Caenorhabditis elegans: one gene and its partners. The protein of the gene in region 4 interacts with the protein of the main gene of each other region in a pairwise test. Each region holds a gene or a part of one and is shown on either strand. Other genes may lie near its edges.

Region 1 (3,754 bases), on a different chromosome or scaffold from region 4:
CCCTACTGAAAGCGTTCCTTACGAAAAAATCCCCTTACGAAAACGTACCCCCTCTAGAAATTTCTTATTTTGTTGTTTCCTTCCTTTTCCGTGTTTAGAACTAAATAATATAGTTTTCAGGTAGAAAATGTCTATAGAAATTGTACAAAAAAGTCTATTCAACATTATTGAAGCCGTTGCCGACGCCGTTACTGCTTCGCAAGCCACAAAAAGGTTGGTAAACCGGAAATTATTGCGAAACTAAATTAATAATGAATTTTTCAGATGTCGACTTGTTGCTGTCAGTAAAACAAAGTCTGCTGATTTAATAGAGGCATGTTATTCTCAAAATCAGCGTCATTTTGGAGAGAATTACGTCCAAGAAGTGAGAGAAAAATCATCAACAAAACTTTTGAAAATGATTCCTTATTGTTCAGCTTGAAGAAAAATCTGATGTTTTGGCGTCAAAATGTTTAGATATTCGTTGGCATTTTATCGGACAAGTGCAATCAAATAAAGTTAGTTCTGATGGAAAATTTACCTTATTTATTAATCATTTAAAAATTTTTAGATTGGAAAAATTTGCAATTCTCCTGGACTTTGGTGTGTTGAAACAGTGGAGACTGAGAAACATGCTCGGATTTTCGACAAGGTGTGTTTAGTGACTATTAATCTATTTTAATTAAATATCTTGAAGGAATGGTCAAAACACGGAGCCAATTTGTCACCACTACGAGTTCTCGTGCAAGTAAATACATCCGGAGAAGATAATAAAGGAGGAATCGAGATTGGAGAAGCACCGAAACTTGCGGAATTCATTCGAAAAGAATGCCAAAACTTGAAATTTGATGGATTCATGACTATCGGATCGTTTGACAACAGGTATATATTTATTTATTGTTACGACTATCCTACTAAAAAGTTGTTCAGTGGCAGGTGAAATGGAAATAGGTGTAAGAAATGATGAAAATGAACGTTTTATATTAATTATTACTTGTAAATAATGATCAAGCTAACAAGCGATAAATTAAATATTTACCATAAAATAAAAGTTCAATTTTACAGCCACGCAAGCGGAGAAAATCCGGATTTCGAGAAGCTCTTCAAAGTCCGACAAACATGGGCAGAACAAACAGGTGAACAGATTTTCTAGAAAAATCAAAGCGAGAACCGTCAGTGGTTGACGTCAAAAAATAAAACTTATGCTTCAAGAAATGTTTTGAAATGTTGGATCCACAAAGTTTCTAAACAAAAACTTGAAAAGTATTGATTTCAGGTGAATCTGCGGATTCAGTAGAACTCTCAATGGGAATGTCCGATGATTTCCTTCAAGCAATTCATCAAGGTGCAACAAGTGTTCGAGTGGGAAGCAAGCTGTTCGGAGCCAGAGAATACAAAAATAAATAGATTTACATTCCATTTTTTAGTTTGTTATTTTTTTAGTATTTAAAGAAAATTCACTATTCAAATTCACTTTTTTTTTAATTACCAGATTCCAATTCAGTTGCTGTTACTGTTTAAATACCTTTCTTTTGAATTGAACTTTTCAGTTCCTTCAGCATTTTTTTCAGTCACAGAATAATGGATAATTTCCGATCGGAAATTCTCAAGGAAACTCGAGAATTAATGCTCAATGAGCAGCAACATGTAGGTTAATTCTTTACTTTTAAGCAAATTAAGCGTGATTCATTCAGGAGGAAAGCATGAAATCTTGGAACGGACCTGAAACGAAAGGATTTGAATTAAAATTCGGAGGCACCAAGCGAGGAGTTCCACAGAACTCTGGAGTAGTTGGTCAGGTTTTCATCAGTGAGGATGGAGGATTTGAAGCAATCATAACTGGATATGTCATAAAAAGTAAGTTTTGAAAATAAAATTGTCAGTTATAATTCGATTTTTCAGACAGTCTCCGTTCCATCGCAGCTTCTTTCACAGTAACTCCTTCGTCTTCTCTGAAATCTGATTTGTCGGAAGGTCTTCATCCACTCGTGCTTGCTATTGGATCAGCTCTTACTCTCAATCATATTTTGATGCTCGGCTCTCTGCGTGACAAAATTCTGAAAAACTTGACACCCAAGAGTGTTGCAAAACTCATTTTATCGAACAAGAAATCTCAGCAAATTCTTACATCTGATGCGGTCGATAACACATTCTGGAAGAAACGTTTAAACAATGATTTTGGAAATGAAACTGTACAAAATACGATCACCACCGGCCGAAAATTCTATGGAATGTATTGCCAGAAAGCAAATGAGTCGAGAACTACAGCGAGAAGAAATGAACCAGTTCGTAATGAAAATCCGCTTATGATCGGTGGACCACGTCATCCTCCTAGACATCCTGTTCATGACCCTTACGGGAATCGTTTTCCTGATCCGGATACTGAGTGAGTTTCCGATTTCTCATTGTCAAATTTAATTTCAATTTTTTTTCCTAAAGGTTGATGCATTCATCTCCGAAATTTCAGATACTACAATCCCCTCGGAGGTTTCTTGCCACCAGGTGTACCACGCGCCGGAAATCCAAACATTCCAGACCTGTTCCGTGGACCTGATCATCCGGATCTCAATCCACTGGGCCCATTAGGACAGCCACGTGGAGGAGGAAGTCACGGAAGACCATTCATGAGAGATCCCAATGGAAGATTCGGTGGAAACGGAGGTGGTGGTGGCTTCGACGGATACATCTGAAAACCATAATTGTTGTATTAAATGTGTATTTTATATTTATTTGAATGCTACTCCGTCAGCTCCATGAGCGTGTTAAAATTAGAAAAGTCTTGTATAGCTTGCAATATTAAAAATGCAAACTACGAAACCAAGATATCTATCAAAATCGGAAAATAGGTTAGAGGGGGTTTATATTTAATATGTATTGAGCATGCTACAAGAAACCAAACACACAAAAGCCTTATAAATTCCAGAAACTCTCACGTCTACATGACTATAAAAGCCTGTCTCAGAAAAGCCTGTCTCAGAAATTTTGTTCGGAAAACGTCCCGGTCAACTTTTTGTTGACAATGTTTTACCCTCTTCCCCCCCTCATACTTAGTCACCGGACTCTTGCGGGTCCAAATGATTATTTTATATCTATTTATTCATTCTTTTTTCCTTCACTTCACTGCTTTGTTGTAATTGTATCATTATGATTGTTGCCTGATGAATAAATATAAATAAATGAAAAAAAGTGAGTCCTGAATGTTTGATAGTACCCAATAAAATGTCAACCATAATTTTTTCAACTAATTCCTTTTCTAGGATGACACAAAACTTCAAGCAAAAAAAGTTGCCACCGCTGGGATTGAACTAGTGGACGTCTGCGTGAACGCCAAAATTTTGAGCCACTTGACCACGGAGGCTTTTTTAATTTATTGGTAGTAAGGACGATGATATTTTAATGACTCCAAATTTAGACGTCCAAAGCTGAAAATGCGCACTCACTACAGTACCCCAAAACACTCGATTTTAAAATATTGGTCAGTTTCAGCCGAAAATTGGTTTCTCAAAGTAAATTGGGATGTTTAGTTCGGAATTTGGATGGAACTCCTGCAGAAAAACGGATGTTTGCGAGTTTCAACGTGCCAATCGTGGGTTACTGTAGCTCCAAAACTAAGACTACAGTATCCCAAAACCCAATTTATTTTTCGAGGGGAACGGGTGCTGCTGAGTTAATTAGTAATAAATAATGTCAATAGTCGAATCATCAAAATGAGTAATAGGGTATTTAGAGTCTTGATTTATATTTTATATGTAGTAAGCATACTACAACAAACCAA
Region 2 (6,637 bases), on a different chromosome or scaffold from region 4:
TTTTTTTCCAATTCTCAAGTAGGATTTTGTAGCCGCCTTCTCCATTGATCACTGTCGTTCGGGTACATCCGTATCTCTCCAAATTTATTTTCCTTATCAGTCGTTATCAATTTATCTTCAGCATGTTGTGATAAGAATTCGAATCGCACCATATTTTCGGGTGAACCTCAGCGAGAAAAAAAGTGGGAACACCACGAGAAACGCACATGTTTTCGTTTTTGCACAAGTTTTTAGCGGCATTTTCTAAAATACGGTGATAAGGAGATAGGTGATACACGTGTAGCTAACAGACCATCACACCATCTTAAGACTGACCACTCCTATAAATGAGTGGTGGAAAGGTCAGGAGCCTAGAAAGTAACTGATAATATGTAGTTTTTTTTGTAAAACAGGAAAAGCTGATGCAATTTTAAACTAGACTTTTGCATTGAAAATAGATTAGTTCAGTTAGAAATTTACTAAAAAAATCCAAAATCCAAAATCGTTCAGAAATATTTATTTTCGATATTACTTAATAGAATTTTTTGCACAGATGAAAAATGTTTGCACTGACAAAAAATGTTTGCACTGACCATTATAATTTTTGCACTGACCATTTTTTTTTGCACTGACCACAATAATTTCCTTTGTTTATAACTTTTATAAGTGATCCTTTCCTAAGCCAATGCTTTAACCCGTCCACTTTCTTCAGAAACTTAAGAAAACTTTTTTCCCTACCCGCCAAGCCCCGAAAAATATTCTCCATTCTGAATATTCAATTGCTTCTCTTCCTTTTCTCCAACACAGAACGTCACGTTTTTCTTCTTTTTAGTCGTTTTTTTTCTTCCTTTTTTAAAAAAAGAAGCCCCCGCAACTCTTTTCTTTTTGGAAAAAACGGGGATAGATGGGATGGAGAAAACGGAGAGCGAGAAGCTAAAGTTGAATCCCAAAAGGTTTCTGATTTCCATGCCGCTTTTCTCGCATTTCTCCGTTTGGTCTTGTTTTCTTAGACTGAGAAAACAAAAATAAAATGGAAAATCACGTTTTCTAAGTTTTTTGTTGGAGCTCCTAGATCTAAGCATGAGCCTAATCCTAAGCCTAAACCTATGCCAAAGCCTTAGCCTCAGCCTGAGCCTAATCCTAAGCCTAAATCTATGCCTAAGCTTAACACCTAAGACAGACCCATTTTAAAAATCCAAACACAAAACTCTTCCAGTGTTTTGCACTTTCCCGAGCTAATTTTCTTCTATTTTTTTGAATTTTTTGGTTAGTGCCCTTTTGTGAATGCACTTTTGCTCAAAAATTGGTATAAAAGAGACATTCGTTTTCGAACACTTTGTGTAATTGTTTCAAAAATCTGATGCAAAAATATTAATAACTTAACATTGCGAAATCCGGAGAAGCTAGAGACGCAGACTTCGCGGAGCAGAAAAACGTGTTGTTTACTCAAATTTCCTTTGACCGCCTGCGTTCGCCTCAAAACACTTATTCCTCTCTTGTTTTTTTCTGAGTTCCTTTTTTCCTTCTTGTGGAATTTTTTTTAATTTTTTATGCTACGTGGCATACGCTTTTTAGTATTCCCTCCTAATTCTGAATTTCTTTCAGGTAACTCGTTCTCTTTGGAACAAGTGAACAATGTCGGCGAAGGCTGTGAGCGAGTTATCTGGAAAAGAAGTGAGTGCAAATTTCCAACTGGAAAAAAAAATTTTAATTTAAAAATAGAATGATCCCACCAAACTTCTTGCAATTTGACATTTTTAACAAATTCTCAACAAAACAATCTAAATTTTATTCCAGGTTCTCTACAAATACTTCGAGCCAAGCGGACTCCTCTCAGCTCCACATGCGTTTCACGTGAAGGCTGGCGAAAATTTTGACGAAATTGCAAACAAGTACGAGTGGCTCGCACGTGATAACAAGGGAGTCATCAAGCCCGACCAGTTGATCAAAAGACGTGGAAAGCTGGGTTTGGTCAAGATTGGAACACCACAAGAGTTGAAGGCATGGTTCGAGAAAACTGGTGACAGTTATGTGAGAGTTGGTCAAACCGAGGGACGGCTTCACACTTTTATTGTCGAGCCATTTTGTGCACACACTGAAAAGGATGAGATGTACATTGCGATCTACAGTGAGAGATTTCGTGACGTCATCATGTTCTATGAGCAAGGAGGTGTAGATATTGGAGATGTTGAGGAAAAGGTTAGTTTCCCGGAAATTTTTTTTTGGATTCAAATTGCTCCGCAGTTATCATTTTTGTAAAATAGGATCATTTTCATTTAAAAAAACTCAACCTTTGCAATTTCCCAATTACTGAGAGTATTTCCAGGCTCGCACTGTATCCGTCCCCGTCCAGCTCAACGAGAATGCCATGACCCCCTCGGATGAAGAGCTCACCACCCTCCTGGGCCCACTCAAGGACAGTGACATTGTCAGAAGATTTGTGGTAGAGCTCTACAAAGCCTACAAGGACCTACATTTCACGTATCTCGAGATTAATCCATTTGTCCTTTTGAACAACCAGATTCATGTTTTGGATTTGGCAGCTAGGCTTGATGAAACCGCCAATTTCTTGTGCGCAGACAAGTGGAAGAGCCGTCTGACACCATATGGAGGACCGAACCACGTGGAGTTCCCAGCTCCGTTTGGACGTGATTTGACGTCAGAGGAGCAGTACATTTCGGAGATGGATGCGAAGACGGGAGCTTCCTTGAAGCTGACGATTTTGAACAGAAAGGGAAGAGTTTGGACGATGGTGGCTGGTGGTGGAGCTTCAGTTGTGTTTACGTGAGTCTAAAATATAGAATTTAAAGTCTAGCCATATTTGTTTCAGCGACACTGTCTGTGACCTCGGTGGAGCATCAGAACTCGCCAACTACGGAGAATACTCTGGAGACCCGTCTGAATCGCAAACCTATGAATACGCAAAGACACTCCTCTCCGTGATGACCGAAGGTACTCCGAGACCTGATGGAAAAGTCCTCATCATCGGAGGATCCATCGCCAACTTCACAAATGTTGCTAAAACTTTTGGTGGAATCGTCAGAGCCTTTGAAACGTTTGTCTCAAAGCTCAAAGAGCACAAGGTGACAATTTTCGTGCGTCGCGGAGGCCCAAACTACCAGGAGGGACTCAGAAGAATCAAGGATGCTGCGACAAAGTTGGAGCTGCCAATTCATGTATTCGGACCTGAGACTCATATGACGGCGATTGTTGGAGCAGCGCTCGGAGTGAAGCCAATGCCAACAGTTCCGACAGCTCCACAGACTACCGGACAGTTTTTGTTGAGCCCTGAGAGAAATGTAGGTTTTTAGGACCAAAAACTAGCTACGTTGGTGCGAGGTGTCATGCTGTTTCATTACGGTTTGATCTGCAAAAAAGTGCGGGAATTTTTTTCCCGAAAAAATGGGACGTCAGCAAGCTTTGAGTCATGCGAATCCAGTTGAGAAGTATGCGTCTAAATTCCCGCCATTTTCGTAGATCTACGTAGATCAAATTGAAATGGGACACTTTGACACCACGTTTGTTGGTGCGAAGCGGGAAACATAGGCCAGCCACAAGCGGGCTCACTTAGGGCCTAGTGAAAAATCGAAAATGCCCTGTGCATTCAGATCTAGTGAACTTGAAGAATCCATTTTTCTACAATTCAAATCTATCATTTTTCAGACCGGAGGCACTGAGAGAGCTCCACCTTCGCCAGCAGCCAACGCCACTCCAACTGAGCACCCACTCACCACTGCCCAACAGAACAAACTGAAAAGCTTCCGTGGACTCTTCGAGGACGACACCAAGGCCATCATCTGGGGACAACAGGCTAAGGCTATTCAAGGAATGCTGGACTTTGACTATGTCTGCAGAAGAAGCTCCCCGTCGGTTGTCGCGTCCACCTACCCGTTCACTGGGGACAACAAGCAGAAGTACTACTTTGGGCAAAAGGAAATTCTCATTCCAGCCTATAAGTCGATGGCGAAGGCTTTTGCAACTCATCCGGATGCTTCTATCATGGTCACTTTTGCCTCGATGAGATCTGTATTTGAGACTGTTCTCGAGGCGCTCGAGTTCCCACAAATCAAGGTTATTGCGATCATTGCTGAAGGTGTCCCTGAGAATCAGACTAGAAAGCTGTTGAAGGTAAAGTTTTCCCCCACCGGAAATAGAAGTATTCTGATTCTAATTATGCTTGTTTTCAGATTGCTCATGACCGTGGAGTCACCCTTGTTGGGCCAGCCACCGTCGGAGGTATCAAGCCGGGATGCTTTAAGATTGGAAACACCGGTGGAATGATGGACAACATCCTTGCCTCAAAGCTCTACCGCCCTGGAAGTGTCGCCTATGTATCTCGCTCCGGAGGAATGTCCAATGAGCTTAACAATATCATTTCACAAAACACTAACGGAGTCTATGAAGGTATTGCAATTGGAGGTGACCGCTATCCGGGAAGCACGTACACTGATCACGTGATTCGCTATCAAAATGATGATCGTGTGAAGATGATTGTTCTTCTCGGTGAGGTCGGTGGAGTTGAAGAGTACAAAATTGTGGATCTCCTCAAGCAGAAGAAGGTGACAAAGCCATTGGTCGCATGGTGCATCGGAACCTGTGCAGATCACATCACATCGGAGGTTCAATTCGGTCACGCTGGAGCATCTGCAAATGCTCTCGGAGAAACCGCTGCCTGCAAAAATGCTGCTCTCCGTGCTTCAGGTGCCCTTGTCCCCGAGTCATTTGACGATCTTGGCAACAAAATCCGTCAGACGTACGACGAACTTGTCAGCCAACAAATCATCGTTCCACAGCCAGAAGTTCCACCTCCAGCGGTGCCGATGGATTACGCGTGGGCTCGTGAACTGGGACTCATTAGAAAACCAGCTTCCTTCATGACCTCAATTTGTGATGAGAGAGGAGAAGAGTTGAACTATGCGGGAGTACCGATTACAAAGGTTTTGGAGTCGGATATGGGAATCGGTGGAGTGTTGGGATTGTTGTGGTTCCAGGTGGGAATTGAGACCTGTTTTCAGCACCACTAATAATACATTTCAGAAGCGTCTCCCACCACATGCCAACAAATTTATCGAGATCTGCTTGATGCTCACCGCCGATCACGGACCAGCTGTGTCGGGAGCCCATAACACTATTGTGTGTGCTCGTGCTGGAAAAGATCTGATCTCTTCGCTCACGTCTGGTCTACTCACCATTGGTGATCGCTTCGGAGGTGCCCTCGATGGAGCCGCTCGTCAGTTCTCTGAGGCTTTTGATCAAGGATGGTCGGCGAATCAGTTTGTCAGCGAGATGAGAAAGAAGGGAAAGCATATTATGGGAATTGGACATCGTGTGAAGAGTGTAAGTGTAGAGACTAAAATGGTTTTGAGTACCCTTACAAATGTCTCACTGTAGTTACTGTAGTAGTGTACTACAGTGATTCATTTTAGAAACATAGTGTCCCATCTCGGTTTGATCTCTGAGAATTGCGGGAACAACGTGCCCAGGAAATTTTACCATTACGTGGTGTCAAGTTGTCTTGATCTACAAAACATGCGGAAAATTTGGGTCCAAAAAAAATGTGACGTCAGCACGTTTTTCTCAACTCCCGCATTTTTTGTAGATCTACGTAGATCAAACTAAAATGGGACACTCTGACGTGTACCATCAAACCGAGACGTGATACTCTGACACCCACCAAGTGTCAGTATTGTCAGAATTAGCGTAATCCAAGTCGGTACTCTAAATAGAACGTCTAATACCGAAGAGCTCAAATATTGTCAATTTCCAGATCAACAACCCTGACAAACGTGTGGAGATTCTGAAAAGATTTGCCATGGACAAGAAGGAGTTTGCCCAGGAGACGCCGTTGTTCGAGTATGCTCTTGAGGTCGAGAAGATCACGACCGCCAAAAAACCGAACCTCATTCTCAACGTGGACGGAGCGATTGCGATCTTATTCGTCGATATCCTTCGCCACAGTGGCATGTTCACCAAGCAGGAGGCCGAGGAGACAATCGAGATTGGATCGCTCAATGGGCTTTTCGTTTTGGGTAGATCTATTGGATTTATCGGTCACTACTTGGATCAGTCGCGTCTGAAGCAGGGATTGTACCGTCATCCATGGGATGATATTTCCTACATTATGCCGGAGAGCAACTTGGTAAAGTTTTGAATATAAATTGCTTAAGGTTTTACGCACTGACCAAGTTTCAAAAAAATTCATATCTAATTTCAATGATAATTATGAACAATTTTCAGTAAATTCCGCAACCCTTCAACATTCTCCTGGACCAAGCAACTGAAGCATTCCAATTTTTTCTAATCACTGTACCCTAAAAGTCCCCTATCTCCCCCCAACCAAGCAATAATTTCACAAGGTTTTTTTTCTCAACTTGTTCATTAATTTATTTCCCGTACTCTACTCTCAACTTTAATATTGCACCCCATGAGCTTTACTTTTTAGCTTACAAAAATGTATTTTTCTTGAATTTGATGATATTTATTCAGCTTAGACAATAAAGCATGGTATAGTATGGAATTTTCTGGAACTTAAGAAATGCTAAGCCAAAAAAATTTAGCACGGGCCTTTTTTTTTAGCTTTCTTTTGTGTTCAAAAACTTATATAACTAAAAAAAGGTTTAAAATACAGGTTTTTACCCAAAAATTTCGGCCGAAATAT
Region 3 (6,793 bases), on a different chromosome or scaffold from region 4:
ACGTCTTCGTTTTCGGTAATCCTGAACGATATATGAAACCAGCAAGTAAAAGTGTAAACTGGCGCGGGCGCGAAGTAAAAAAACCAAACGAAAGAGTATGCGAACTTTAGGTTCGCAGTGTGAACAGAGAAGCGTGCAGAAAAATGAAATTGACTTGAGGACACAAAAAACGCCAGAGAACCCCCTTTTTGATGATGATCGGTGATAATAGCTGTGGATAGTTCCTGCCACTACGGCTACTTTCGATTACTTGGAAATGCCAAAAAGGAAGTGGGACAAGAACTTAGTTCTTCGAGAGTGATGTTTCGATGTTTGAGAAATTACTGTTTCAGTGTTCACTTTTTGTGTTACACGTATAAAACACAGACAAAAATCAGTAAAGATTATAAAAAATAAGTATTTAATTACATTATTTCTTTTTTCATATATTGGCTTAGTCTTAAAAAATATTTATTACGGGTGGTTTTTAAAGAAAATTTTGAATTGCTTTTTAGATTTCACTTGGAATATTTGAAAACAGCGATCCACAAATTGTAGACCTTATACTCCAAAATACTTGTTTTAAAGTATATTTTGAAGAAGAACGGTTCGAGAAGCCTTTCAGTTCCAAATATGTGTACGGCTAATACTTTACTACACACTCCAGAGTTACAATACAATTTCAACATTCAACATTAATTCCAGACTGGTTATTAACAACGTTGACATTCAAACACTATTCTGAATACATATTTTCCAACGTGTACCACACTTGATCACGATAACTTCTTATCAATTTTTTAAAACTTAAGTGATGACGAAGTCCAAACAAAGCAGTTAGTATAAGTGTCACGCAGAGCAAAATAGTTGTCATTTAGGTCAATGTTTATCCAGAGGGGGAGAGCACAACTCTTTTTTCGGCGTACGTCTTGAGTTAGCTGTCTGTATGACGACGAGAAACAGCGGAATGTAAAGAGAAATAGGTAAGCACCGGGGCGCGACAATGTCCACTACATGTCAAAAACGGACGTGGACAGGGAGAAGCTTTTGGGAGCGGGCGACTTTACGAGAATTATCAAACTTTGAACTGGACAGACGGGAAGTACATAGAGATTGTGCAATGAATTTAAGTTTATTGCGCGGGTGGTAATGATAAAAATTGTTTTTTTTTCTATTAATGTAGCTGTATACTAAATTTCGAAAGTTTTTGCAATTCAAACAAAAAATGGAACACTAATTTTCGAACGGTTTTGTTATTATGTATAATAGTTTGCAATCAGAAATACTAAAGATGTATGTATAATTGCATCTAAATTAGTGATTATGGTGTCAAAATGACTCCTGCTTTAAAATAGGGACGCAACAATTGATACACTTAATAAATTAAAAATTGGTATTGAATAAAAACAAATTCAATTTTCAGGTTAAAAACAAATTTGATTGCATGAACTTATTTTGCAAAGTGGCACTACAACGTTTTTTGAAATAATAAAATTATGCGATGTTTTTTGTTGGAGGACACATAGACTATAATCCAAATAATAAGAGCAGTTTGAGCTATTAAAATTGAACCCCCAATTTCAAAAACATGATTATATCATTTTTGTTCTAGGTTTTTACCAGCAGTGTTTCGAAATCCCTACTTTTGTTTGTTTGAGCTTTTTACCTGACCTTTAAGTGTTAAGAACTCCATTTTCCTCTTTCTATTTTCATTTTCCCTTTCACAAAACACGGTACCTTGTACCTGCGAGCCATTTTTTAGATCAAGCTCCCGCCCCGCGCGCCGTCAGCTCCTCCCCACAAGGAGTTCGACCACCCTGTTTACATTTCCGGCCAGCGGTCACTCATTTCACGAAGTTGACCTACACTCGGATCACCAAGCACTTTTGGCTTCCGATTTGCTTCTCATATCCACTAGATTCATTTTAAATTTACTCATTTTACAGCGAAGCCATGAGACTGCTGCTCTTCATAGTGGCCTTGGTGCCGTTGGTTTTATCACAGGTAAAATAATAAGAAAGATGAATTACAACAACCACATTTTTCTAGTATTATATGCAACAACAGATGCGACCTGTTATGCAACCACAACAACAGAGAACAATGTATTATCCAGTAAGAACTAATTGTCAAAACAGATGTAATCAACAGACTAGATACAGGTGGAATGTCAGACCAACAAGTAAGTCGACATAGTTTCGTTTTTTGTCATATTCATATAACAGATATCCGGCCAAATGTTCAAGTACAAATTAGAACTATTCCGTCTGCACCAGGTCCCATTAGGCCAGTGGTTAATCCAGCTCCACCACTTCCAACACTGCCAACTCCGCCACCAAGCACTCTTCCCCCAATCACTTACCCTAGACCAACTGTTGGAGCTCCTATCACAACACAACAAGTTCTAATCACTGAAACTACTACTCAGGTAAGCAGAACAATAGTTAGTAATTCTTTATCTCCATTCTCTATTTTTTAGCCACCAACTACAACTACCACTCTTGAAACTCCAGCTCCAGAATCCACGCCGTCTATGGCTCCATCACATACAGACCCCACTCCAGCACCGGAGACTACTGTTGCACCAACAACAAAGTACTTGCGTCCGGAGCGCAAACAAACATCAAAAGCCAGTAAGTTTTTTGCCTGCAACCAAACCACCCACCCAACCCAGCATTTTTTGTAATGTTTGTCTGCGTGATCGAACAGTTCAACCAAACTGACCAAGCCGCCGACAATTTGAACGCGTTTCATTGCGTTTCAAAGCAACCACTTAAAAGATAATTATGTGTCAATAATAAACAAACAAATAGATATATAGTAGTAGTTGCGACTCCCGTTATATCAAAATGCATCTTCACACCTTTCCCTCCACCGTTTGCAGAATACTTCAACCCATGCGCCGTCGGCCAGCCACTTCTCAACGAATTCTCCACTCCAATCTCATGCAACTACTTGAACCAACCAAACGGAGGATGCCCAGAAGATCACTATTGTCACACAGGAGCATCTTTCTCCACTACCGCTTGTTGCCCATTAGTTTCTTCGGAAGACAGATGTGCTCAGAGAAGGGACACTGGAGAGGGAGATGAACTTGTAGCTAGATGGTATTTTGATAATCAGGCCAAAGAATGTAGACGTTTCTTATACAAGGGGATCCGTGGAAACGCTAATAATTTTGTCACCAAAGCTCAATGTGTGGATGCATGTGAAACAGGTTTAGATTTTACTTCAGTACTTAACAATATCACATAATATTATCACTCTTGATTTTTTAGAAACTGTGACTGATGAGGCAAACCCATGCAAATTCAGTAACGCTGCTAAATATAAGAATGGATCTCGTATTATTTGCGGACCGAACGATGATTCAATGTGCCCGAACGGCTATTACTGTCATATTGGCGAGAACCCGGAACTTACTGCTTGCTGTGAGAACAGTGGACGTGAGCATTTTTTTTTGTCAAACGTTTACTCTATTTGTTCTCTACCTCTCGCCAAGGCTCTATTTATTTTAATTTTACAGTAACCGATCCGTGCTTACTCTCGATAAACGTCGGACAGGGTAAAGCCCTCCTCAAGAGATTCTACTATAACACTTTCTCAAAGCGATGCACAGAGTTCATGTACAAGGGTACCAAGGGCAATGAGAACAACTTCTTGTCATATACACAATGCCAAGAAAAATGTCAAAGTAGGAACTTTCAACAAATACTTCGTTATTTAAGATTTTACATTGTATTTTAGAGTGGGATAACCCATGCCCTGTCCCAGTTAATTATGCTCAAAAGAAGGAATGTGGAATGGAAAACTCAAATGGAACTGAATGCAGTGCCGGACATTGGTGCCATATTGGAGCTTCCAAAGAATCTTCAGTATGCTGTCCAGGAGCTTCCCCAGATCCATGCTCTCTTCCAATGTTTTCCGGAGAAGGAACCGCGAATCTCACAAGATGGTACGCTGACCCAGCAGATAAGTCATGCAATAGACAGTGCAAGTCTTTTGCTTACAATGGAGCTAAAGGAAACCAGAACAACTTCCTCACAAAACAACAATGTGAATCTAAGTGTAAAAGAGAATGCAAAAATCCATGTGGATCAGGAACAATGCTTATGACACCTACCAACGAGCCACGCACATGCAGCCCAAGTTCGCCATGCCCAAGCTCGCACTGGTGCCACGTCGGAATAACTCCAGACACAACTGTGTGCTGCTCTGCTGTTCAGAATACGTGTGAACTCACAATGACGAAGGGTTACGGAAACTCTCATCTGACAAGATGGCACTTTGACAAAAACCTCAACAAATGTGTCAAGTTCATTTACAGCGGAGAAGGAGGAAATCAGAATATGTTCCTAACACAGGAAGACTGCTTGTCAGTTTGTCCAGTATTTGAGAATCCATGCGGCAATGGAAAACCGCTCTTGATTGGCACTAAACCAAAGTTGTGCTCTCCTGATGAGAGATGTCCATCCACCCATTTCTGTCACATTGGAGTTGAAGGATCGGAGAATTATTGTTGTCCAAAACGTATGTTTGTTCTAAAAATTTTAACTCTATCTAAAATATATATTCATAGATGGTGACCCGTGCCAACAAGCATTGGCTACTGGAACAGGAGGATTTTCAATTACAAGATACTACTATGACAAAGAAACTCGCCGATGCCGCGATTTCAGCTACGAAGGACAGAAGGGAAATGCCAACAACTTTTTGACTCTTGAAGATTGCGGTCTTGTTTGTCCAGTACTTCCAAACCCTTGCAGCTTGGGAGAACCACTGCTTAGTTTGCAAAAAGAACCAGTCATTTGCGGCGGAGAAGACACATGTCCAAACGGATATTATTGTCATGTTGGAGGTGCCCCCGAGACAACCAACTGTTGCCCTGGAAGTGAGTAGACTACTAGAGAGATATCATTTAGTTCACGCAACTGTTCAATTTTGCATTCTATTTCCAGCCCGTCGTCCATGTGATCTCCCATTAGAGGTTGGTCAAGGAGTTGAGAAACTCGAGCGTTGGTTCTTTGATGGAGGAATTCAAATGTGTCGTCCATTTGTTTACAAGGGAATGAAAGGAAACTCAAACAACTTCCTGACCAAACAGTCGTGCCGACAGTCTTGCAAGGAAATGAATCCGTGCGGTTATGGTGATCCGTTGGTTGACACCACCGGAGAAAGAATGTTGTGTACTGGTGGACAGAGAGTTAACAGCTGCCCACAAAATTCGTACTGTCACGTTGGATCTAGTGCTCTCACTACGCTGTGCTGCCCTAAGAGAAGTATGCGTGAATTCCATTTATTATTAGACACTTATTTTATTATTGAATTCAGAAATCGACCCGTGTGATCAAGCCGTAGAGGAAGGAACAGGATCAGAAGACTTGCCAAGATGGTTCTTCGATCGCAAACAAAACAGATGTGCTCCATTTACATACGGAGGAGTTGCTGGAAACGAAAACAACTTCATTAGTCAAAATACTTGTATGGAAGCATGTCCAGAATACAGAAATTATTGTCCGCATGGAATTCCATTGATTGAGGGATCAACAGTAACCTCGTGCGGTATTGACAAGGGATGTCCGGAAGGATTTATTTGCCACATGTCTTCTGAGTTCAATGTTTCCATTTGTTGCCAGGTAAGCTTTTCCAGAGTGAAAAGTTTGAAAAAGAGTGAAACAGGTTGAGAACAAATACGGATCAAACGGCACTACACGCTTATCATGGAGAAAGTTATCATTTATTTTTTTATTTTCAGGACCCAATGGATTTCTGCCTCTCAGCTCGCGACTCGGGACCATGCAATAACTTTGAGAAGCGATATGGTTATGATGCGAACACAGATACTTGTGTTGAATATCAATATGGAGGGTGTGAAGGAACATTGAACAACTTCCATTCTCTGCAAAGATGTACTGAAATCTGCTGTAAAGAATACAAGAGAAGACATAGATTGTAAATGTAATTTGTTTTCAAATAACTTTTCTCAATCTTCAATTGTTTTTCACTCTTTTTACCGGTAATTGTCGCTATTTCATTTTAACAAACAACTAAATTAACTCCCTTGAAAATCACCAAAAAGAGTTCTTTGATTGGATCTCCTTGTTTTTTTTTGTAATTGTCTCTCTCATTATTAAATATGCTTTCATTTTTTTGTTTTGTTCCATTCTTACCTTCTCTGAGTCGTACCAAGCTCTGTTTGCTCAGCGCCATCAAAATTGACCACTACCATCCATTTTTATAACAAAGATTTTTATACATTCATTGTAATATTTATTCAGTGTAATTGAATAAACATTTCACCTTAGCCATCTTTCATTCGACCTCTGTTCACCAACTGAACCTGATTAATCAAGTCAGCTGTTTAGTTCTGAAAAAATCACGAAGGGATCAATAATCCCACTTTTTGATCTTCAAATTTCAGATTCCCGATATTCGGAAAAAAAATCATATCAATTTTCTTCCCAGTTTTCAATTTCGTTGTTCAGGCTTCTCCATTTTCTCAAGCCTGTCTTCTCAAATTACAGAGATGCCCTTTCCATTCAGACACGCTTTTGCCGTGATTTTTGATCTAGTTTCCTCTGACACTTTCTTCTTTCTTTCAAATAATCAAAGGTAATTGACCTGGTAGACAGAATCCAAGGAATCTCATTTCATTCTCCTGTCTCATTGCCACCACCATCGCCACACACAAAACTTTCTCGATAATTGCCGTGAAGTTTGGCCAATCGATGAGTCATACTCCTCACACACACACTTATTTCTTTTTACTCTCCACTAAATACCAAGAAGCAAAACATTTATCGTTCACTTTCTG
Region 4 (5,019 bases):
CTCCTTCTGATCCACACTAAACGGTTGTGCCCATCGTCCCAAGTAGACTATTCCAAAGGCACCTTCTCCCAACTTCTTTGGAGTCATATCAATTCCTTCTGCCCGGAGCTCCCAGTCTTGTAGCACGATAGGGCGTTTCAAGAATACACGTGTCTGAAAATTAAAGACCGTCTGGAAATGGCTAGAAAAGCACTCAAACATACATTGTGATAGCAAATCGGGTTGACCTTATAGTAGTTGATAAGCTCATCAATAGTCGGAAACTTGAATCGCCGCTCAATATAAAACGAGGTCCATTTGCCGGCGGTTTCTTCAATAAACAAATGCATATCCATGTTCTCTTTCTTCACATCCTCCAGATCCCCATAGAAACTTCGTGTGGTGCCGGTTTTTTGTGCTGAATAGGGAACATAATTGTAAAATCTAGAGTTTTTCAACGAACAGTGAGGGCAAGTTCCCCGCAACAGCTTGACAACTTATGAGAAGTTCATTGAATAAGTTTCCAAGCTGCTAGGAAGTTAAAAAAACAAAAAATAAAACAAACTGATATTGACGGACAGAACAAGAATGACACGAGTCAGTGGAATCGGATCAGTGGCACTTTTGTCCGGAGTCGTCGGCTTCTTCGCATTCTTCTCTGGTTGATGCGACAATCTCAGGAGAAAGTCTCCGTTCGTCTTCAACAAGATCAGTTGTAGCTCTTGGAGCACAAAACCATGGAAAAATTGGTATCTCAATAAATAATTGTCAATCATTTCATTAGTTACTCTGGAAATTAAAAAGTGTTTTGGGATATTTGGGATAAAGTTGCTCACCTTCCAACGCTTTTAGTTTTTTCTACATTTTGATACATTGAGTCGTCCGGAAAATTGATCATAACTGAGTTTGAAATACTGCTGCCATCTGTTGTCCTTTCAGTCTTTTCGGTCGTTTCACTCTTACATTCTTTTTTCTCAGATTTCTGAAAATTGAAAATTACATTTTACTATACCAGGAATACCGAATTTGTCTTTTTTTTAAATAATCATACTACAGGCGACCCATTGCAGGAAACTTATTCTAGAATTTCTGATGTCTTATTTTATTTTCAGGTAGACGCGTAGCCAGGTACAGGCAGGCTCGAACTCCCGCACTCCAACTCACCTTCATTGCAAAAATTTTACGACGATTTTGAGTAAAATTATATTGGGAAATAAATAAGTTTGCCTCGTCGTATTTGTTTTTTTTTTCAATTTTTTTCACGGGAGTTTATGTATTTAAACATACAGACAGTGATACAACTCAAATTCAGAAAACTTCCAGGAATCAAACTTCATCTGAAGGATTAACGGTTAAACCAAATTTTCCTGACAACAAAGTGCAAAGTCACTGCTCGACAGTTAGGAACAACTTCCTACTCCTGCCATAATTTAGCATCTTCCTATCAAACCTTTCATCAGCGGCAAGCAGGCAGGCGAGCACGTCTGAAAAATTCATGTCTACTATCGAACCCCTTAGAAAATATATTCATTTTTTGCAATTCACAGGATGTCAAAATATTGAAAATTGTTGCTTATAGAGTGGAAAAAAGGAGATTATTATAATAGCTGGTCTCAAATGTCAACGGCAGAAGTATTTAACTAGATTAATATTTTCAAGTTTCATGTTTTCGGATATGTCACCATTCACCATACACTTTACCATTATCTAAATCTAGAAATGTTACAGTAATCCATGAGCACACAAAATCAGAAAACGAAGAGCAACCTTGTGATGAGCTGGAAAAAGGGGATTAGTAGAGGTGAATGTTGAGAACAGGAAAGAAAGAGAGAGTGAGAGGATCAGAAATACTTTCAATTTATTTATAATTTTATTCACATCACAAATCTCTCTCCACTCAACTGCCCATAGTGATTGATAAGCTCCGGCGTTTCGCCTACTCAACGTTTCCCTCCAAAAACTCCAATCTAACTTTTTATTTTTGTTTCTAGCCAATCTTTTTTTTTTTCTATAGTTTCAGAATCAAATGCTCAATTTTGGAGTCGTTATGTATCAAAAGAAGAGCCCAAGTAATGCAACAGAAAAGTGAGTTCTGAGTGTATCTTACCAAACCGAAAAAAGTAAAAATGCAACCTATAAAACAAGATATTATCTCTCTCATTGCAATAGAAATCTCCCCCTAAAAAAAATCTCTTTGCACATGTCTCTGTCAGTTCTTTTTATGTTTTGCGTGCATAGAATTGCCGATTGTCGGATGATTTTCTTCTTCGTTCGATGAAAGCGGAAATAATAGAGAACAGCGTTTTATTGTGGTTTTTTGTTTTTTCGTGTCAAAGTTTCTGTAAAAGTCATGATGGTAGAATTTGTTCTAACTGTTTTATTCTTTTATTTTTAACTTTCAATTTAATTATAAATCAATTGCATATTATTGTCCATGTAATTAAGCTTTTAAGTTATCAAGAATAAGTTGAAAATTTTATTTGCAAATATTTTTTATGTCGAATTTCGATGCAGATAATGTTTTTTTTTTCCAAAACCGCTAAAATTATTTCAATATTCTTTATTTTTTTTCTATAGTTAAAGAAAAATTTTTTTAGAAAATTAACAAAAAAACTAAAAAATTACCAAAAGTTGTTCATTTTGATGAGAAAAAACATGAAATGTTTTCTCTGAAAAAAAAGGAAAATGGTCAAAATGTTAATATATTTTTGCAAAAATCGAATTGTTTTCGAAATATCTGAAAAACTAAAATTTTTCGGAAACGGTTTTTCTATAATACGCTTTGTATGCCAGGATACATTAAATAGAGAAAAATTGAGACAAAGTCCAATTACTGAAAGTGTAACATTTTTCTTTAAATTATGATCTAGGATAGTTTGTTAATGAAGCGATATTGCTTCTTGTATGCATACCTATGTATGTATGTCATTTCCGAAGTATTATAATATGTATCCTAATCAAGAACATGGATCATAAACATCTTTATTTTTATTATTTTATCTTTATTTTTCAACTCGATGTAAATTAAAAATCTTCACTAGTAGCCAGTAGCTCGACTTTGCAAATGCGTTCGTTTTAGATTTCGTCTTGTTTCCGATTGGCCCGGTTATTACGTAAGCACCTAAATTTTAATGTTATTGCATCTCATCACTACTTAAAAATGAGTCAAGTTTTTGAAATAGAAATACGAGCTTCATTGTGAAGATCACGATATTCTTTTTATTCGAATAAATCTGGTTGCATAGCTGTAGTACGTCAACGGACGAACCTGGATGAAATAGTGAATAAATATATTTTCTATAAAAAGGAGAAAATAAAAGAAATGTTATAGTTGACAGTTAATCCTTTGCATGGTGAATCTGTTGGCGGATGCCAGTTAATCTCCCTGTTTATCCGTATGCTCATATTTTTAAGTCGTCTTCAGTCGTTGTCGTTCTAAAAAATTTGGCCATCGATTGGCTCAGCTTCGTCTTTTTTGCCTCCTTTCACTTCTTCTTTTCTTGTCCGATTTCAGAAAAATTAAGATAATAAATTGCTTCAAATTTTGAAGTGCAATACACTTTCGCAGTCTAAATGCCTCTTGTTTTCTAAAAGTTATGCCAATTATTTATTCTTTAAAAATATTGGACTTACTGCCATGGAAGTCATATAGTTTCGCTACAAAAGTAGTACCTGTTCTGTGGTTTGGGTATTTTTCGAATTAAAATTTTTCCAAACTCAACTTTTTTGTGCAATTCTAAATGTATTTTTATGAGTATTCTTTTTTCTCCCTCTCCTATGTACATCCGCCAGCAGATGCTTGTTGAATTCTTATCGAAAGCTCTTTATCAGAACTTATTTTGAAAAAAATGTCAAGCATTCTCCGAGCATAGGTTTAAAATATTTCTGAAACACAGGTACATTTAACCAATCTCTCAGTTGAAAAGGTTACAATTTTCAGTATCAAATAAAAAAGTATAACACAATAATCTTTTGCACTTGACTCGCGTCATTTATCTGATCAACATGGCTTCATGCTCGGAGAATGTTCTTCTTTCTGCCAAAATGACTCACTGGAAATACTTTGAACATTATCAATGAAATTCAAAATAAAAATCAAAGAATAAGACTTTAAACTTTGAAAATTAGGACTTAAAAATTGTTGTAGAAATGCACCTAGCTCTTCAAATTTTGTTTGCCACTTTTTTACTGAAAATTGATGGCAACATACTTGAATTCTTTGATTTTTTCTCTACTAAAGGAAAACAAAAATCTTTGAAACTTTAAAATCAATGGTTTGTGTTAACTGAATTTGGTTCACCGATAGAACGATTGTTGTAAATCAAGGAGGTTAAAAAATTGAAATATCGATTAGTCATTGATTTTGAAAATTCAAAGCTTCCAGACAGAATGCCTCTTTGAAATACCCTTTGAACTATCAAGCTTCCTCCTCTTCCTCCTCTAAAAATAACGTGAATAAATTGTTCGAAGAGTATGGAATCATCTCATTTCCGATTCATATTCGTTTCCGCTATCAAACAATTTAACAATTTAATATGATATTCAGAGATGAATAAAATGCATTTTCTGCTCGAATGCCTTTTTTAGCTCGAATAAGTTTCTTCTTGCGTATCAGTTGGCAGGTGCAATGCTCAATTTTAATTTTAAGAAAAGTTTACATCAGCAAGCCCTACTTTCTCATTCTCTCCTTTTTAATTTTGTTTCTTTTGTTGTCTTGAAAGAAATTCAAACCCTTAAAGTATAAAATTGAATCAATTGGGTGTTCTTCTAATTGTCTCGTTCATTCAAATATCACTATGCATTAGGGAATGTCATATCAAATTGAATGATGAAAGTAGATTAGAAAGAGAAAAGAGAACATCCATTTAAGTATTCAAGTTAGCTTTTTGATTTTTCTAGATTTTTATGAACTAAAAATTGAGAATATTTACACTTGGCTGAGAACCACGGCGCGAGGAGATCGTTGAAGAGGCTGAAAGAAGCGACATCGCCCAAATATGAGGAGGAATGGCGTCTTCCGTTGAATTTTAGGAATTAGAA

What was found.
Region 1: the proteins of kin-4 (region 4) and F09E5.7 interact in a two-hybrid assay, tested with the Caenorhabditis elegans proteins (one large-scale study listed by BioGRID).
Region 2: the proteins of kin-4 (region 4) and acly-1 interact in a two-hybrid assay, tested with the Caenorhabditis elegans proteins (one large-scale study listed by BioGRID).
Region 3: the proteins of kin-4 (region 4) and C34F6.1 interact in a two-hybrid assay, tested with the Caenorhabditis elegans proteins (one large-scale study listed by BioGRID).

The regions. Positions count from the first base shown.
Region 1 is NC_003280.10:5,350,549-5,354,302, forward strand, and holds F09E5.7 (PI31_Prot_N domain-containing protein), read left to right. Parts: upstream 1-1,538; 5' UTR 1,539-1,560; coding exon 1,561-1,626; intron 1,627-1,673; coding exon 1,674-1,836; intron 1,837-1,881; coding exon 1,882-2,365; intron 2,366-2,446; coding exon 2,447-2,669; 3' UTR 2,670-3,211; downstream 3,212-3,754. Other genes in the region: F09E5.8 (Pyridoxal phosphate homeostasis protein), read left to right, coding at 128-213, 265-364, 417-497, 551-631, 677-861, 1,045-1,115, 1,256-1,386.
Region 2 is NC_003284.9:1,477,958-1,484,594, forward strand, and holds acly-1 (putative ATP-citrate synthase), read left to right. Parts: upstream 1-1,584; 5' UTR 1,585-1,614; coding exon 1,615-1,653; intron 1,654-1,776; coding exon 1,777-2,178; intron 2,179-2,305; coding exon 2,306-2,763; intron 2,764-2,809; coding exon 2,810-3,278; intron 3,279-3,642; coding exon 3,643-4,107; intron 4,108-4,166; coding exon 4,167-4,970; intron 4,971-5,016; coding exon 5,017-5,316; intron 5,317-5,746; coding exon 5,747-6,130; downstream 6,131-6,637. UniProt on the Caenorhabditis elegans protein: Catalyzes the cleavage of citrate into oxaloacetate and acetyl-CoA, the latter serving as common substrate in multiple biochemical reactions in protein, carbohydrate and lipid metabolism.
Region 3 is NC_003284.9:11,191,974-11,198,766, reverse strand, and holds C34F6.1 (BPTI/Kunitz inhibitor domain-containing protein), read left to right. Parts: upstream 1-1,925; 5' UTR 1,926-1,932; coding exon 1,933-1,983; intron 1,984-2,028; coding exon 2,029-2,161; intron 2,162-2,204; coding exon 2,205-2,407; intron 2,408-2,458; coding exon 2,459-2,612; exon of another isoform or gene 2,613-2,752; intron 2,753-2,863; coding exon 2,864-3,196; intron 3,197-3,257; coding exon 3,258-3,425; intron 3,426-3,505; coding exon 3,506-3,673; intron 3,674-3,726; coding exon 3,727-4,509; intron 4,510-4,558; coding exon 4,559-4,870; intron 4,871-4,937; coding exon 4,938-5,258; intron 5,259-5,310; coding exon 5,311-5,615; intron 5,616-5,734; coding exon 5,735-5,935; 3' UTR 5,936-6,282; downstream 6,283-6,793.
Region 4 is NC_003282.8:11,423,737-11,428,755, forward strand, and holds the start of kin-4 (non-specific serine/threonine protein kinase), read left to right. Parts: upstream 1-2,005; coding exon 2,006-2,064; intron 2,065-2,397; exon of another isoform or gene 2,398-2,418; intron 2,419-5,019. Other genes in the region: F22B3.8 (Tyrosine-protein kinase), read right to left, coding at 1-153, 204-397, 545-768, 816-961, 1,144-1,149.